Saccharomyces cerevisiae S288C: one gene and its partners. Each later gene encodes a partner of the first gene's protein in a complex. Each region holds a gene or a part of one and is shown on either strand. Other genes may lie near its edges. The genes, in order: MED1, SOH1, CSE2 and MED4.

Region 1 (4,884 bases):
CATTGGTGGGCACCTCACTGTTATTAATACAGTCCATATTATTTTCGAGCGCTTGTGAGTGATTCAGATAATAATTATAGAGATTCTCTCTAGTGGTGAATCTCTGAAGATCTTGCGATGGATTGTAGTCGATTTTTTCGTTCCAATTATCGGCCAATTCACTCAACTCACTCCATTTGGACTCTACCATGGGATTATTTACATCTTGTGCCATCATTTTATTGAATCTGCCATTTATCAAATAATCGATATATGATTTCGAATGGAACTCCAGCAGATCATCCTTTCTGGCGTAGGGAAATGTTAGCACTTCGTCAAAGTGCTGGAGAAGATCGTACGCGTTTATTAGGGAATATGTCAGCTGCGATTTTTGATGATTGTTACATGGGAGTAAATCTGCTACTTGAGACTGAAATATTGACGTTGATATGACCAATTTCGACATAGCGTTTTTCTAAAATGGACAGGTGTTTATTAATTCATATTACAGTACATACACCTTTTTTTTACTTTTTGTTTCTTTATTAATTTTTTAGTTTTTTTCATATTCTATTTTATTATAAGTAGTAATATGAAGAAATTTCCCAAGCAAAGCTCAATAAAATTATTTAGCTAAACAAACATATGCATATATATGTATATTCTCCCTAATTTAATTCCTTGGCTGCCCAGGTTGGTAGAACAAAGGAAGCTTCGTGAATTTTCTTGTTATAGTATCTGTATAATTCAGCCTCCTTCTCATCAGAGATTTCACGTAGTGGCTTCTTGACATTGCAAGTTTTATCTTTGGAGCAAACCATAAAACCAATCGTACCAGTTGGGTAAGTTGGAATAGTAACGAAAGAGTATTCTGCAACTGGGAAAACTTCAGAACAGGCTTTCTTTAAGTCCTTAATGATTGGCAAGTGAATCCACATACTTTCTGCTTGTGTAGTGATTACACCCTTTTCTGTCAACGCACTGTTCAACAATTGGAAATATTCCTTTTGGAAAAGGGTTTCAGCTGGACCTTCTGGGTCAGAAGAGTCAGTAATGATTACGTCAAATGTGTTTTGGTAATCTCTTAAAAATTGGAAACCATCACCAATGTGGGTCTTAACCTTTGGGTGAGAATAAGAGGCAGCCATTTCTGGTAGGTACTCCTTTGATAGTCTAATAACAGCTTCATCAATGTCACATAACCAGGCTTCCTCAACGGAATCATGCTTGACAACCTCTCTCAAAACACCACCATCACCCCCACCAATAACAAGAACCTTCTTAGGATTTGGATGGGAATTCAAGGCAAGATGGGCAATCATTTCTTGGTAGGCAAATTCATCCCTTTCGGTGGCTTGAATTACATTATCTAAAACTAGAACATTACCATATGTAGTGGATTTGAAGATCAAAACGTCTTGATATTTTGACTTCTCATGGTGTAAAACTTTCTCCACTTTTAAAGTCATGGCCTGGCCTGGCCACATGGTATCAGAAATTTCTCTGAACCAGCCGTCTACAATAGTTGGGTGAGTGATTTCTTGTGCCATTAGATTTATTGCTTATTAGTGTTTGCTCTTCTTGACTGAACTACTATGTGAAGCGTACAAGATACTAAATTACTAAGTCAGTTTTATATCACAGCTATTCCTTATCTCATGCCAATAGCATTTTTAGAGAAAAAAATGAAAGGTGAAAAAATTTTTTTTCTCAAGCAAAGAAATGAGGAGTTCCTGAAATCATGCAGGTGCAGAATATTGGTGTAGAGAATCGCGTTTGTATATTGTCTTAATCCTGTACTTACGAGTAGGTATTTGATGTTTTAAAAATTGCAAATGTACTTTTTGCGAAATCTTGCAACATTTTTTTTGTCAGGATGTAATTGCAACTAATTAATTTTTCAAAACTTAAAATGAAGGTTACCTATTAAGGAACGTTTGTGTTTGAAAAAGAACTCCTAATCAAAAGCAAAGAAAACATAGAACAAAAGCCAACAAAACTCTTTTGGAGATGGTAGAAGGAGACTCTTATGTGGAGACTTTAGACTCCATGATTGAATTATTCAAGGATTACAAACCTGGTTCCATAACTTTGGAGAATATAACACGACTTTGTCAAACTTTGGGTCTCGAGTCCTTCACAGAAGAATTGAGTAATGAACTTTCAAGATTATCGACGGCATCTAAAATTATCGTGATAGATGTTGACTACAATAAGAAGCAAGACAGAATTCAGGACGTTAAACTCGTACTAGCATCTAATTTTGATAATTTTGACTACTTTAACCAACGAGATGGAGAGCATGAAAAAAGCAACATTCTTCTAAATTCCTTAACAAAGTATCCTGATTTGAAAGCTTTTCATAACAATTTGAAGTTTCTATATCTGTTAGATGCATATTCCCACATCGAGTCCGATTCTACCTCCCATAATAATGGGTCTTCTGACAAAAGCTTAGATTCAAGCAACGCATCATTTAACAACCAAGGTAAACTTGATCTTTTTAAGTATTTCACGGAACTATCACACTATATAAGACAATGTTTCCAAGACAATTGTTGCGACTTTAAAGTCAGGACCAATTTGAATGATAAATTTGGAATATATATTTTAACCCAGGGCATCAATGGTAAGGAAGTGCCTTTAGCCAAAATTTATTTAGAAGAAAACAAAAGCGATTCACAATACAGGTTCTATGAGTACATATATTCACAAGAAACCAAATCTTGGATAAATGAATCTGCTGAGAATTTTTCTAACGGCATTTCCTTGGTTATGGAAATAGTAGCAAACGCTAAGGAAAGTAACTATACAGACTTAATTTGGTTTCCTGAGGATTTCATATCACCGGAACTTATTATAGATAAAGTTACATGTTCATCAAACTCATCTTCTTCGCCACCTATAATTGATTTATTTTCGAACAATAACTACAATAGTAGAATACAACTGATGAACGATTTTACAACAAAATTAATCAATATTAAAAAATTTGACATAAGTAATGACAATCTAGATCTAATCTCTGAGATACTAAAATGGGTTCAATGGTCGAGGATAGTACTTCAAAATGTTTTTAAACTGGTCTCCACACCTAGTTCAAATTCAAATTCATCGGAACTTGAACCTGACTATCAAGCTCCATTCTCCACCTCGACTAAAGACAAAAATTCTTCAACATCTAACACTGAGCCAATTCCAAGAAGTAACAGACATGGAAGTGTAGTAGAGGCCTCTAGAAGAAGGCGTTCTTCAACTAATAAAAGCAAACGTCCCAGTATAACTGAAGCAATGATGCTTAAAGAAGAGGGTTTACAGCAATTTAATTTGCACGAAATTTTATCTGAACCCGCAATAGAGGAGGAAAATGGAGACAGCATCAAAGAGCACTCTACAACTATGGATGGTGCCAATGACCTCGGATTCACCGCCTCTGTTTCGAATCAAGAAAATGCAGGAACTGATATTGTGATGGAAGATCATGGTGTACTGCAAGGCACTAGTCAAAATTATGGTACTGCAACAGCGGATGACGCAGACATAGAAATGAAAGACGTCAGTTCTAAGCCTAGTAAACCTGAATCGTCGGTCTTACAACTAATTGTAAGTGAAGATCATATCATTCTCGACACTATTTCAGAATGTAACTTGTATGATGATGTAAAATGCTGGAGTAAATTTATTGAAAAATTTCAGGATATCGTTAGCTAAGGAGGTACGGAGTGGCTCAAATACACATTGTGGACCGTACACTCGATGGAGTTTAGGTTTACGTACACCTTCTAGTGCAAGGTGCATGCTTTTCATACCTCATATGACTGAGTTTGTTTAGTGTGGCCTATATTCTAAAAAAGATAAACGTTAGAATAAATGAGCTTGCGAACTGAGCCATTTACCGGTCATTTGCCAATATATATAATCAAGGACATCTCTATCATTGTGAGAAATACTAAAAATGTAGGAAAAAGGTTAAAACAAGAACCACTAACACGCTAGATAGGTAGATAGGTAGGTAGGAGGAGGTCGATATTATTACTGCATATATATATTTTTTTCCATTCTGCGTTTTCTTGCTGCAGCGTATTTATGTATCAAGATCCCGGGGCAGCTGTAAGTGTACTGTCTAGAAAATAAATCAGCAGGCCGCTTGCTACTTCAGTAAAAAAGAGAGTAGAAACTGGAAATTTTTTTGGCAGTCAAAAATTTAATATATAAAAAAGGCCCTTTCTGTTTTAAGTGCATTTATTAAATGTTTCCAGTTCCAAGACGATTGGCAACGGAATTATGCAAAACGGCACAGAAGACAAAAGCAATATTCCTGCTCGTAGTAATGATGATGTATTGCCGCCGTTAGCCGTCAGACTTACTATGAAAGTAATGCGATTAATTTTCATCGGAAAAATGTTTGCATATTCATTTGTACCCTTTCCCCCATTTAAACTTTTGACATTTGATAATACTGTGGGCTGGTTCGTAGCATATTCAGCGATCGTTTCTATTTGGGGGTTTGCTGTGTGGATGGAAAGAGGATATAGACATAAGATTAATCTACTGCCTCCAAGATGTACGAAGATAAGATGCTCTCGCTGCAATACAAGAATAAGATCCCCCAATTGGTTCAAATATAAGAATTGGTTATATTTTTTCCTATTATACGTTTCTCTAACCACTTCTAACTTAATAATTCAACTGGCCTCTTTTATGACAGAAATGAGTCGTCGGGGTATAAGCGTTCCTGGAACGAAGGATCCAGGCAAGAGAGATTATTTAGGGCTTATCATACCAATGCGATTCATTGGTGCATTTATCCATTACATGACGGCTAATTTATTCAAAGAGTATTATTTACATAACGGCCCACTAGAAAAGAATGATAGACCTTCTACCGATGAGAAGACATCAGAG
Region 2 (3,278 bases), on another chromosome or scaffold:
CTTGGCATACTGGAAGCCACCTTCAACGGGAGTCCAGTTTTCTGCGTCCCTAGGAGGATCTCCTCTCAGCGCTAGGATGTTCTGGCAACCGGAGTGATAAGCGTTTTCTAAAGCGTCGTCAATCATCGAAATGGGCATATTGGTGCAGGTAAGGTGCATGCACGTTTCCAAACCAAGCACAGACTGCGCTGTCGCAACCAAGTCCGTGGACAGATGTGACAACCGTCCACCGCCTGCATTCCAGGTGATGTCAATAAATTGGGGCAAAGAAGCCTCGTACATCCGGTCCATCCGGTCATACAGGTTCTGTACACCTTGTGTAGTCTTCGGGACGAAGTACTCGAATGAGTAAGTGGGCTTGCCAGAGGTCTGTCTATGTTGCTCTAATTTTTCTGTGATCTTCATATTGCGATGTGGTTGTAGTAGTAACTGTGGTGGTTCTGTTTGCTGATAACTTTAGTTTAGGGAGACTATTTCAATCAAGGGGAGCAAGGCAAACTACACGAAACACAAGCTGTGGCATTAGCTTTTCCACGAGCGAAATATCACCTTTTTTTTTCTACTTTTCGTATATATGATATATATACGTATATATATATATACATACAAACATATATATATATATATATATATCAAATTTTGGAAAAATTTGAGTCAAAGTTGCATATGCAATATTCACAGTCTATAATCCGAGGGATAGAATGACTAAACGACGGCCCGCTACCGGGAGAAAAGTCGCTGTTATTTTTTCAGTCGCTCGTGGTCTATCGCCAACTTTTCCTGAGTCATACTGGACGTAGCGCGGCTGCGTCGCGAGCGTAGACAAGGCCTGTCACTATGTACGCAGCTAGCAATCCAGACATGTGCTCACGTACGGTGTGGAAACGGGACGCCACCGCAGTCAACAGCAGCTGCCATAACCACGTGACCAATAGCGTCAGCAGTATGATTACTGGGTGGTCGCATGCTATGCATCGCGTCAAACGGAGCAGGGCGGCCGCGCACGTGACAGGCGGCTCGACTATCGCACGCCACAAACGGGCGCCACAGGTCATTGAGCCGCCGCCACACCGCCGCCACGTCCATAGCGGTCCAGTGTCGAAAAGGCGGGTCACCAATCGTACAAGCTGCCATTTCTGCGCGTACAAGTGAGCCAGTGCACGACGCCCAAACACACGTAGCTCACCTAGAAGAAACATGCACATCAAGGTGGCCAAGAACACGTGCCCGGATGGATCGTGTCCTCCAGCCCAATGGCCTCCAAAACGTCTGCACTGTGCCGAGGTGGTTAACGGACCTTGCCACCTGTGCATCTGGTCATGAATAAAAGTATTGATGGCAGCGGCAGCGCTGGCCGTTACGTTTTTTGGGGTTTTCGGTTGCGTCGCCTGCAGGGCGCCCTGGATCGACCCTATGGAGCGGTCCCAGAGTTGTTGCTGACGGTGTTCTTGGTGGTGTCCGTGCAAAGTGAGGACATTGTGAATGAGCGCCAACGCGCGATTAGTCCGGGTGACAGAACCCTGGAAGTCTTCGTTCACGTGACCTGCATCATCGAAGACGTCATAGTGACAATGGCCACCCGTATATACGAATACCAAGTCCATGATGGGGCCTACGCCAAACCATATACCTTGCGTGAATACGTACCACCACACTGTCAGTATGGCATACCTTTTGAATGACTGGACAATGTGTCTTCGGTCTCTGCCGGTTGCCCCCGGCACCGCACGGTAGCGTATAATACACCACCATCCGACCAAGGAAGTCCAAAACCACCCTTTCTTTACCAACATAGCATTTACCAGACCATCCTTATTCAGGGTTGCTTGCAGCGCCGCACCGTAGCCATACGCGTTCATGAGATATCCTACCAGTACCGTCAACGGGCACACCAGTAGGTGTATAGCATTAAACCATTTGCTAGACATTGTTGTAATATGCCGTGCTTTATAGCTGGTTTCAGTGGAGTTTTAGGCGTTTCCCCTTTGGCTTTTTTCGAACAGTTCGTTTTGTATTTTATTTCACGGTTTTCCCGCTAACGTGTTCTTAAAGGATGAAAAAGAAAAAGAAATGCAGGAAAAATGAGGCAAAGTAAGCCAAAACTTATAGCACTCATAAGACGGCAAAGTTCCCCCAAGCTCCACCCAGGATGTCAAGCACTAATGGAAACGCACCAGCGACACCTTCCTCGGATCAAAATCCTCTCCCCACGAGGTTCGAAGTGGAGCTCGAATTTATCCAGTCACTGGCAAACATCCAATACGTAACGTACTTACTCACTCAACAGCAGATCTGGAAGTCTCCTAACTTCAAAAACTACTTGAAATACCTGGAGTACTGGTGCAACCCCCCTTATTCGCAATGCATTGTGTATCCAAACTGTCTCTTCATTTTAAAGCTGTTGAACGGGTTCATGGAGTCGGCGATCGTTAATGAAGATGGCCTGCTGGAAGGGCTAGACGAGCTGCCCAAGATCATTCAATTACAAGGCCCGCAATGGATGAATGAAATGGTAGAAAGATGGGCCAACTGAACACACCTAATTATAACTACATTCGCACGCATTCATATATCTATTTTATACACTCATGAATATATATACACACACACACATATATATATCACATATATACATATATATATGTATATATATATGCAAGCCGCATTACTTTGTATTTTCTTTCCTTTGTTTTCCTTGCATATTATCTCGCAAGACATTAGAAGATGAAAGCAAAATCAAAAAGCAAGTCCATCGCCGTACTACAAGCCTCGCCACGACTATGCCAGGACACGAATTGGAAGACGTAATAAATCAACGTTTGAACCTATATGATGTATTAGAATTACCGACCCCCCTGGACGTCCATACCATCTACGATGATTTGCCCCAAATTAAACGCAAATACAGGACCCTTGCCCTGAAGTATCATCCTGACAAACACCCGGACAATCCATCAATTATACACAAATTCCACTTATTATCGACCGCAACTAATATCCTCACCAATGCAGACGTGAGACCCCATTACGACCGCTGGTTAATTGAGTTCCTACGGAAAACAAACGACATTGAAAGAAATAAACTTATACAAAAGCTGGAAGAATCTGAATCGAGTACGATACCCACCACCACACCACATCCTGATTTATTGCAAATCCAACGCCACGGCGAGCTACTCAGGAAACTAAAACATTTCAACTTGCCCTATGGTGACTGGAAACATCTCAACACACAAGACCAAGAAAATGCTTCGCAACATCCGTATTACGATTGCTCT
Region 3 (3,540 bases), on another chromosome or scaffold:
GAGCAGTACTCGTTCGGCTATTCCAAGAATGAAGAAGAGTTAAGAAAAAATGAGCTACACCACAAGCACTGGTCGAATCCAATGGAAGTACCACTTCCAGAAGCTCCCCACATGAAAATCTATTGTATATACGGGGTGAACAACCCAACTGAAAGGGCATATGTATATAAGGAAGAGGATGACTCCTCTGCTCTGAATTTGACCATCGACTACGAAAGCAAGCAACCTGTATTCCTCACCGAGGGGGACGGAACCGTTCCGCTCGTGGCGCATTCAATGTGTCACAAATGGGCCCAGGGTGCTTCACCGTACAACCCTGCCGGAATTAACGTTACTATTGTGGAAATGAAACACCAGCCAGATCGATTTGATATACGTGGTGGAGCAAAAAGCGCCGAACACGTAGACATCCTCGGCAGCGCGGAGTTGAACGATTACATCTTGAAAATTGCAAGCGGTAATGGCGATCTCGTCGAGCCACGCCAATTGTCTAATTTGAGCCAGTGGGTTTCTCAGATGCCCTTCCCAATGTAAATGACCGACATTGACTCACTATCCATCCGTGTATTATTTCAAAGAGCGAAAAGAAGGCGCGTCGCGTCGACGCGCCTTTTTAGGCTAGAAAATAAACAGAAAACAAAAACAAAAACAAAAAAAGGCGAAAAAACAAACGAAAAAACAAACGACAGTAGATAGAGGAGAAGGTTTTTGACAGGTTTGTGTAATTGGTTATTTGCTTTTATAGATTATATATACACAAACTTAAAACACTGTTTTCTAAGTAGGCTGCGGAGAGGGCCAATTGCAGCAGCGACGTACGCATAGAGGAAAAACAACCGTTCATGTCCATTATGAAGCAGAGGCTACCACTGGGGGAGTTTTCCAGCTCGAAGATCAACAAACTGGCAATTGCCAATATTGCAGACGCTAGCGAGCCTAGAAACCATGGAGAAAACAACGTCGGGACTGTGTGTCTTCCCTCTATCAAGAGTTTGATGGTTAGTCCTGAAGTATACGAAAACACGAAGAGTCTTCCTGTTCCCCTAATGAGGAGCAGTGGCGGAGGTATGGCTTGTGCCAGTAAGTCCTCATGCCAGGATGGTATTAGTACGAAAACAACGTCTAGAGATTACTCTGAGCTTTCCAAGAAGTTGCAAATTCGTTTACAGTTCGCCTATTATAAATACAAGACTAAGCAAACAGACAAAAATTTCACAGACTTGAAATCAAAGCATAGCATTACGAGGCCTTCCAAAGTCGCGACTCACAGTAAATCAGAACCTTTAACTAGGAGAAGAAAATTAGTACTATCTCAGGGTCATTATAAAACCCCTGCTAGGTCTAAGATCAAAACTCCATCTTCGATTTGCTCTCACGATAATACATCTTCCTTTACATCTTTCCGCGGTGTCAGCGAAAGCTCGAGCACTACCGCAGATATGAACGTCGCAGATACCACCACACCAATACGCAACAACATAAACACAAAGCATTCAAACAGTCATAATCGCACATTGTATCAGAGACAAGAAACACCTACAAGCATCAAAGCCGCTAAGTCTTTAATTCATCTCTTTACAAGTAACCAATAATCCCACCCCCAATATTTCTATCTTTCATTTTCATTCTCCTTCATTGTGTATATAATAATATTATTGTCTTCGTATATCTTCCACATTACCTTTTCACTTCCGCTTTAGTTCTGTACGTATAATTAGATAGAATATCATATAAAACCTGATTTTATTAGTATCGATTGCAATTCTACTGCGGCCATTAACTGTAACCGAATTGAAGAAAATAAAAGAAAAAAAGAGAACATGCATAAATGGGAAAAAGAAGGCGAAGCATACCAGCATCTACCAGAGAGACACGAGCACTGAAAGTCGCCATAAAATGAATCTACAGAACAACGTTTTAAATCAGATACACCAGATTCTGCTGCCTACGAATCCTACTCTCGATAAACCTAATGCTGAGGCTACAAAGGAAGAATTTTCGTCTGCAGAAAATAGAGATGAAAAAGACTATCTTACCAACCAGCAGCCGAAAAATCTGAGTACTCCCTCCACCAGTTCCAACGGTGAATTTATACCGCATATTTTTTATTCGCTGCACCAAATAAGGAAGGATCCAAACAATCTCTCAAATCAATTGGAAACCTTAACAGGTTCGATTAGACATCGTTTGAAACTTTGTAAATCTTTGATATCGGAAAACGAAGATACCAAGGATTTATTAAGTAAAAGTCCATCAGAATGGCAGGATATCATCCATCAACGTGAACAAGAACTGCAAATTAAGAGAGACGTCTTGGATGATCTTTATCGCAAGTTACAACGATAAAATCTATGCTATCTATCTTTAGTCTATATATATATATATATATACATACGCATACCACATCTTCAAACGTGCATATAGAATGGAGCCTGCGTTTCTAGCAATACACATACACCTGTCAAAAAACCTTCACCGCCTCCCCCTATTTGTTTTATCGTCAATTAAATCTTTAAAGATTTGTGGAACCATGTCTATCAACCATTCTTCCTTAGGGATAACTAGACAGTCCCTGATAAATTCCTTCGACGTTAGCATCAATTGTTGATAAAGCACATATTTGCTTGGTCTCTGCGCCTTTTCCTTATGATTAACGAAAAGTATACTGGTAGGATGAACACTAACGTTCAGCCCACCTGATGACCTACCCATGGTTTGATAGCCGGTGGGGCCTAATTGTACAATATTCATCGGAAACCCGCTGATGAAGCATCGAGTTATTCTAGCATTTATGTAGCCCGCTATATTGCCTATCTTCATCCTGGCTTGGTCGTTCTTTTCAACTAATCCAACCTTTTCACTGCACCTGAATAATTGGTTTCTAATATTTCTTACCCTCAACATCGTTTTGAATTGAATTTTGTGGTCTTGACACCAACTTCTGGAAAATTTAGAGTTTCTCCATTGGTTGAAGATTTCCAAATACAATATGTGATCACTTTCCACTTCGCTTAACACACTTGCCGCAGCATCTCTTTTTTGACCAATAAATAATGAAGGTGTTTCATGTAGCATCGAAACTATGGTCAAACACTCTTCTAGTACACCTTGACATTGTTCGTGCGTAGCAGCTGTATAAAGCACTTTTGCAAATTCAGGTTCACAAGGAAACTCGCACATCATTTTACCTAACCGAGTGATTGTCCCTTTGCTATTTAAGGCACCTAAAATGTATAAATTTTCCAAAGACTTCCGTAATGTGGGGATACTGGGCTTATCCATCAGGGGAAACTTTATTAGGTCAGTAACGCCAAGCGATAATAATAATAACACCGTATTAGAAAGATTTGTTCTTGTGATCTCAGGCTTAGGCATAAGTTCCAACTCGTGCAAATATGACCATTTGGTAAAAATTCTAAAACATTTTCCCGGCCCAACACGACCAGCCCTACCGGCACGCTGATCAACTGAAGCTCTTGAGCATGGAACTGTTAAAAGTTGGGTCATTCCAGTGGAGGGTACGTACGAATTTTCCTTAAC
Region 4 (4,012 bases), on another chromosome or scaffold:
TGCTTTCAAAATACATTCAGATATATTTGCTAAATGGTCTAATGATAACAACAAGCAGTTAAGAATTATTATGGCTCGCTCTTATACATTTGTTATCAACATCGCCCTGGAAAGCATATATAGAGCTGTTTTGGAAAAAGTAATCAAATATAGAACCGAGGTCGAAAACACATGGTTACAACAACTCCAAGACGAATTGAATGGGTCCTATTCGCTCACTGACAATGTAAATACTCCAATCGATCCCAGTTTAAGTGACCTGGGCGTCACAAGCGCCAGTCCATTGGCGGGAAATTCTCCAGGATTACCCCCGGAGGAAGTGCGAAATAACAGCGAAAACGCTTCGCATAACAATGAAACTGGGCCAATTGAGACTGAACTGGCACAGACAATATCCAACGAATTTTGGACGGCGTACAACCTTGGCTGGGAGGAACTAATGAGTCAGCCAGATTATAAATATTTATTTGATACGCAGTAGAGGAGAAGTTCTTTTACAAAAAAACATGCTTGCGACAGCAGCTAGATAGAAAACTTGCATATTGTAATGGAAGACAGTCGAGAGCAAGCCATTGGCTTGGACTTGCGCTTGGACCTATCTTTCGGACCAACTATTTAATGATTAGTAAGACAAAAATGACATTTAAGCATCTATAAAATAAGAAAAATAAAAAAATGAAGGGAAAAAGCTAAACACTAACTTCTTGACCAAACAAACAAGGAAAAGCCAGTAATTGCGTGAACAAAAGGCACCTGCAATTGTTCTGATGGATGTACTTTGTCCAACCTATTCTGCAAGAAAAAGAAATCAACTCCAAAGAAGTATGGAGCTTACTGGCACTCTAGCCTCCAAAAGCTGTTAAAGTGTTCATTCGATTGTCAAAAATCTTCCCCATAATAATCACCCACCTCAACAAAATACTTCCACTTAATTATTGATCGATTAGAGCTAGCGTCAGTGATTATATGCTAGTCCGAAAGGACAGCCCCATGACAGCGGCCGCGCAGACGCCTAGGGGGGAAATAAGGGGTGACAATACCAATGAGTATAAAGGCAGAAAGAAGAGAAACAGAAGCACGGGGGTTTCGTTTGGTCTTCAAATATATGTTAGGTCGGTACCTTTTCATTGCAAAATTGAAAAGATTTGAGCGTGTAAAAGTAAAAAAATACATGATGGGTTCCCAAGATTTAGCTAGTTTAATTGGGAGGTTTAAATACGTCAGGGTGTTAGATTCGAACCCTCATACAAAGGTAATCTCACTACTAGGCAGCATAGATGGGAAGGATGCCGTGTTAACTGCTGAAAAGACGCATTTCATATTTGATGAAACGGTACGTAGACCCTCTCAAAGTGGCCGTAGCACTCCGATTTTCTTTCATCGTGAAATAGACGAGTACTCCTTTTTAAACGGTATTACTGATCTGAAGGAATTAACTTCGAATGACATCTACTACTGGGGGTTGTCTGTTTTGAAGCAGCATATTTTGCATAACCCAACTGCGAAGGTTAACTTAATTTGGCCCGCCTCGCAGTTCCACATCAAGGGATACGACCAGCAGGATTTACATGTCGTCAGAGAAACTCCTGATATGTATAGAAACATAGTTGTGCCCTTTATCCAAGAGATGTGTACCAGCGAAAGAATGAAATGGGTAAACAACATTCTTTACGAGGGCGCCGAGGATGATAGAGTTGTTTATAAGGAATACAGTAGCAGGAATAAAGAGGATGGATTCGTCATCTTGCCCGATATGAAGTGGGACGGAATCAACATTGATTCGTTATACCTGGTCGCGATCGTGTACAGGGACGACATCAAATCTTTGAGAGATTTGAACCCAAACCATAGAGATTGGTTAATTAGACTCAATAAGAAGATTAAGACCATCATCCCCCAGCACTATGACTATAATGTAAACCCGGACGAGCTAAGAGTTTTCATTCATTATCAACCTTCATATTACCATTTTCATGTCCATATAGTGAATATAAGGCATCCAGGAGTAGGCGAGGAGAGAGGCTCCGGAATGACAATACTGTTGGAAGATGTTATAGAAGCGTTGGGTTTCTTAGGTCCTGAAGGTTATATGAAGAAGACGCTTACTTATGTCATTGGTGAAAATCATGATTTATGGAAAAAGGGCTTTAAGGAAGAAGTTGAAAAGCAACTGAAGCATGATGGTATCGCAACCAGTCCTGAAAAAGGCTCTGGGTTCAATACCAATTTGGGTTGAAGGTAGAAGAGCAGCACTATTTTTTCATGTGCTGAACTTCAGGAAGCGCCGGCTTATATAAATGTCTTATTTAAATGTTTGTGTATACATCTCAATGGATTTTGAATTTTAACATAGAATGCGAATGCACAGTAACATAGTACATTCAGTTGCTATTTTCCGTATAAGCTTTCTTTCCCTTATAGCATACATAGCCTTTGACGTATTGCCAGCCTTTTCAAAGAAATGCGAAAAAATAGTGCATTACCACCTACGTAAGGTAGGCTGGAGAAAAAGATAAACTTTTGCATTCTCTGCTCACCATACCGCGAAGGAAAGTAGTTATAACGTGTCCCGTTTTCAACAAGGTTTTCTGGTATATTGTTAACGGTGGAGAAAGCATCTAGTATCAATTACTTCCAGAGTACACACAACGAATGTTATGTCTGTCCAAGATACTAAAGCGGTAGAGTTTTCTATGGGTCACATCAGATCATCCTCTGTATCCCTGGTAGCAGAGGCTACTTCAAACACGAATAGTGAAGACAAATTATCTAAGGTCCAACTCTACGAAGATTTGTGCCGGTACGAGGATACATTGAGTAAGTTGGTGGAATCTGTAGATCGTTTCAAACCAAACCTTGATATTGCCAAGGATTTGATCAGAACTGATGAGGCCTTGTTTGAAAACGTCAAACTGTTAGCTGAATATGACAATATCTACCGCAACTTACAGAAGATTGACAAAGACTCTGAAGAACTAGATTCTAAAACCAGGAAGATATTGGAAATTCTAAATGAATGTCATGACGAGTTAAAAGCACTACCGATGCTTGAACAAGTAGAGTTCGAGAAAAACACAATTTTACAGCAAAGATCGAAAATCAATTCGACAGAGTTGTTGGATTATGCCACCAAACTCTCCAAGTTTACCAAAATACCACCAACGTTCGACAAGGGAGCTGTGGGACCCAACAATTTTATATGGCCCGCAGAGGATGCCCTACGAAGAGGAATGCTTGCTATGGCCTCATTACATAGTAAAGAGCTAACTAGAATACCCGGTGAAGAAGTAGAAGAAACAGAAGTACCGACCGTACCGCCATCTCAAAGTGAAGAACAAAAAGGGCAGATGGCCAAGAAAGAAGGTACACCAAAGACAGACTCGTTTATATTTGATGGTACTGCTAAAGAAGTTGGTGATGAGGCAGACAATACCAAAGATAAAGAAAAGGAAGAAAATAATGATGATGCCCTAGATCTTGATCTTGATCTGTTTGATCCGGACGACTTCTAGTTGCAGTGTCTTGAATCTCTTCCTCGTTAGGAATGAAGAAAAAAAAAAGTTAGACAATAATTCGTGTAGGTAAAAGCGTATATAAAATTACATATATAATTTACTGCAATATGTCAAAGTGTATGAAAAACATTTGAAAGTAAGTTCCCACAGGAACTGGAAAATAAGACAACAAGACTGTGACTTCCACACGCATCTGTCGTTTTTGGCCATCTACTCTTCCTTTTTTGAAATAGGCTTTGGTGAGTAACCACTAAAACTCATTTTTCTCACACGTTCACCTGATCCACTTGCAGCGTTAGAAAATTCCTGCTTGAATCTTTCAAAAGCTTTAGAAAGGTTTTCCTCTTCTATTTCAAGACCATTTTTATTTCTCCATTCTTTGTAATCTTTGCAGAAATCTTCCCAATCTTCCTTAGCATTGTCCCACTTTTCTAACTCAATTGGTGGAATACCTAAGTTCATTTCTTCTTCTTCTGCTGTCTTTCCCTTTTCATGTT

What was found.
Region 2: MED1 (region 1) and SOH1 share a complex: the UniProt entries of both Saccharomyces cerevisiae proteins name them as parts of the mediator complex.
Region 3: MED1 (region 1) and CSE2 share a complex: the UniProt entries of both Saccharomyces cerevisiae proteins name them as parts of the mediator complex.
Region 4: MED1 (region 1) and MED4 share a complex: the UniProt entries of both Saccharomyces cerevisiae proteins name them as parts of the mediator complex.

Annotation. Positions count from the first base shown.
Region 1 is NC_001148.4:683,909-688,792, forward strand, and holds MED1 (Med1p), read left to right. Parts: upstream 1-1,989; coding exon 1,990-3,690; downstream 3,691-4,884. Other genes in the region: HOS1 (histone deacetylase), read right to left, coding at 1-445; SPE3 (spermidine synthase), read right to left, coding at 648-1,529; YPR071W (uncharacterized protein), read left to right, coding at 4,264-4,884. UniProt on the Saccharomyces cerevisiae protein: Component of the Mediator complex, a coactivator involved in the regulated transcription of nearly all RNA polymerase II-dependent genes.
Region 2 is NC_001139.9:269,647-272,924, reverse strand, and holds SOH1 (mediator complex subunit SOH1), read left to right. Parts: upstream 1-2,149; coding exon 2,150-2,533; downstream 2,534-3,278. Other genes in the region: methylenetetrahydrofolate reductase (NAD(P)H) MET13, read right to left, coding at 1-405; SCS3 (Scs3p), read right to left, coding at 786-1,928; U2-type spliceosomal complex subunit CWC23, read left to right, coding at 2,781-3,278. UniProt on the Saccharomyces cerevisiae protein: Component of the Mediator complex, a coactivator involved in the regulated transcription of nearly all RNA polymerase II-dependent genes.
Region 3 is NC_001146.8:641,848-645,387, forward strand, and holds CSE2 (Cse2p), read left to right. Parts: upstream 1-1,896; coding exon 1,897-2,346; downstream 2,347-3,540. Other genes in the region: LRO1 (phospholipid:diacylglycerol acyltransferase), read left to right, coding at 1-534; NRM1 (Nrm1p), read left to right, coding at 843-1,592; DEAH-box RNA-dependent ATPase PRP2, read right to left, coding at 2,473-3,540. UniProt on the Saccharomyces cerevisiae protein: Component of the Mediator complex, a coactivator involved in the regulated transcription of nearly all RNA polymerase II-dependent genes.
Region 4 is NC_001147.6:656,090-660,101, forward strand, and holds MED4 (Med4p), read left to right. Parts: upstream 1-2,657; coding exon 2,658-3,512; downstream 3,513-4,012. Other genes in the region: YRM1 (Yrm1p), read left to right, coding at 1-481; DCS2 (5'-(N(7)-methyl 5'-triphosphoguanosine)-(mRNA) diphosphatase), read left to right, coding at 1,175-2,236; ALE1 (lysophospholipid acyltransferase), read right to left, coding at 3,726-4,012. UniProt on the Saccharomyces cerevisiae protein: Component of the Mediator complex, a coactivator involved in the regulated transcription of nearly all RNA polymerase II-dependent genes.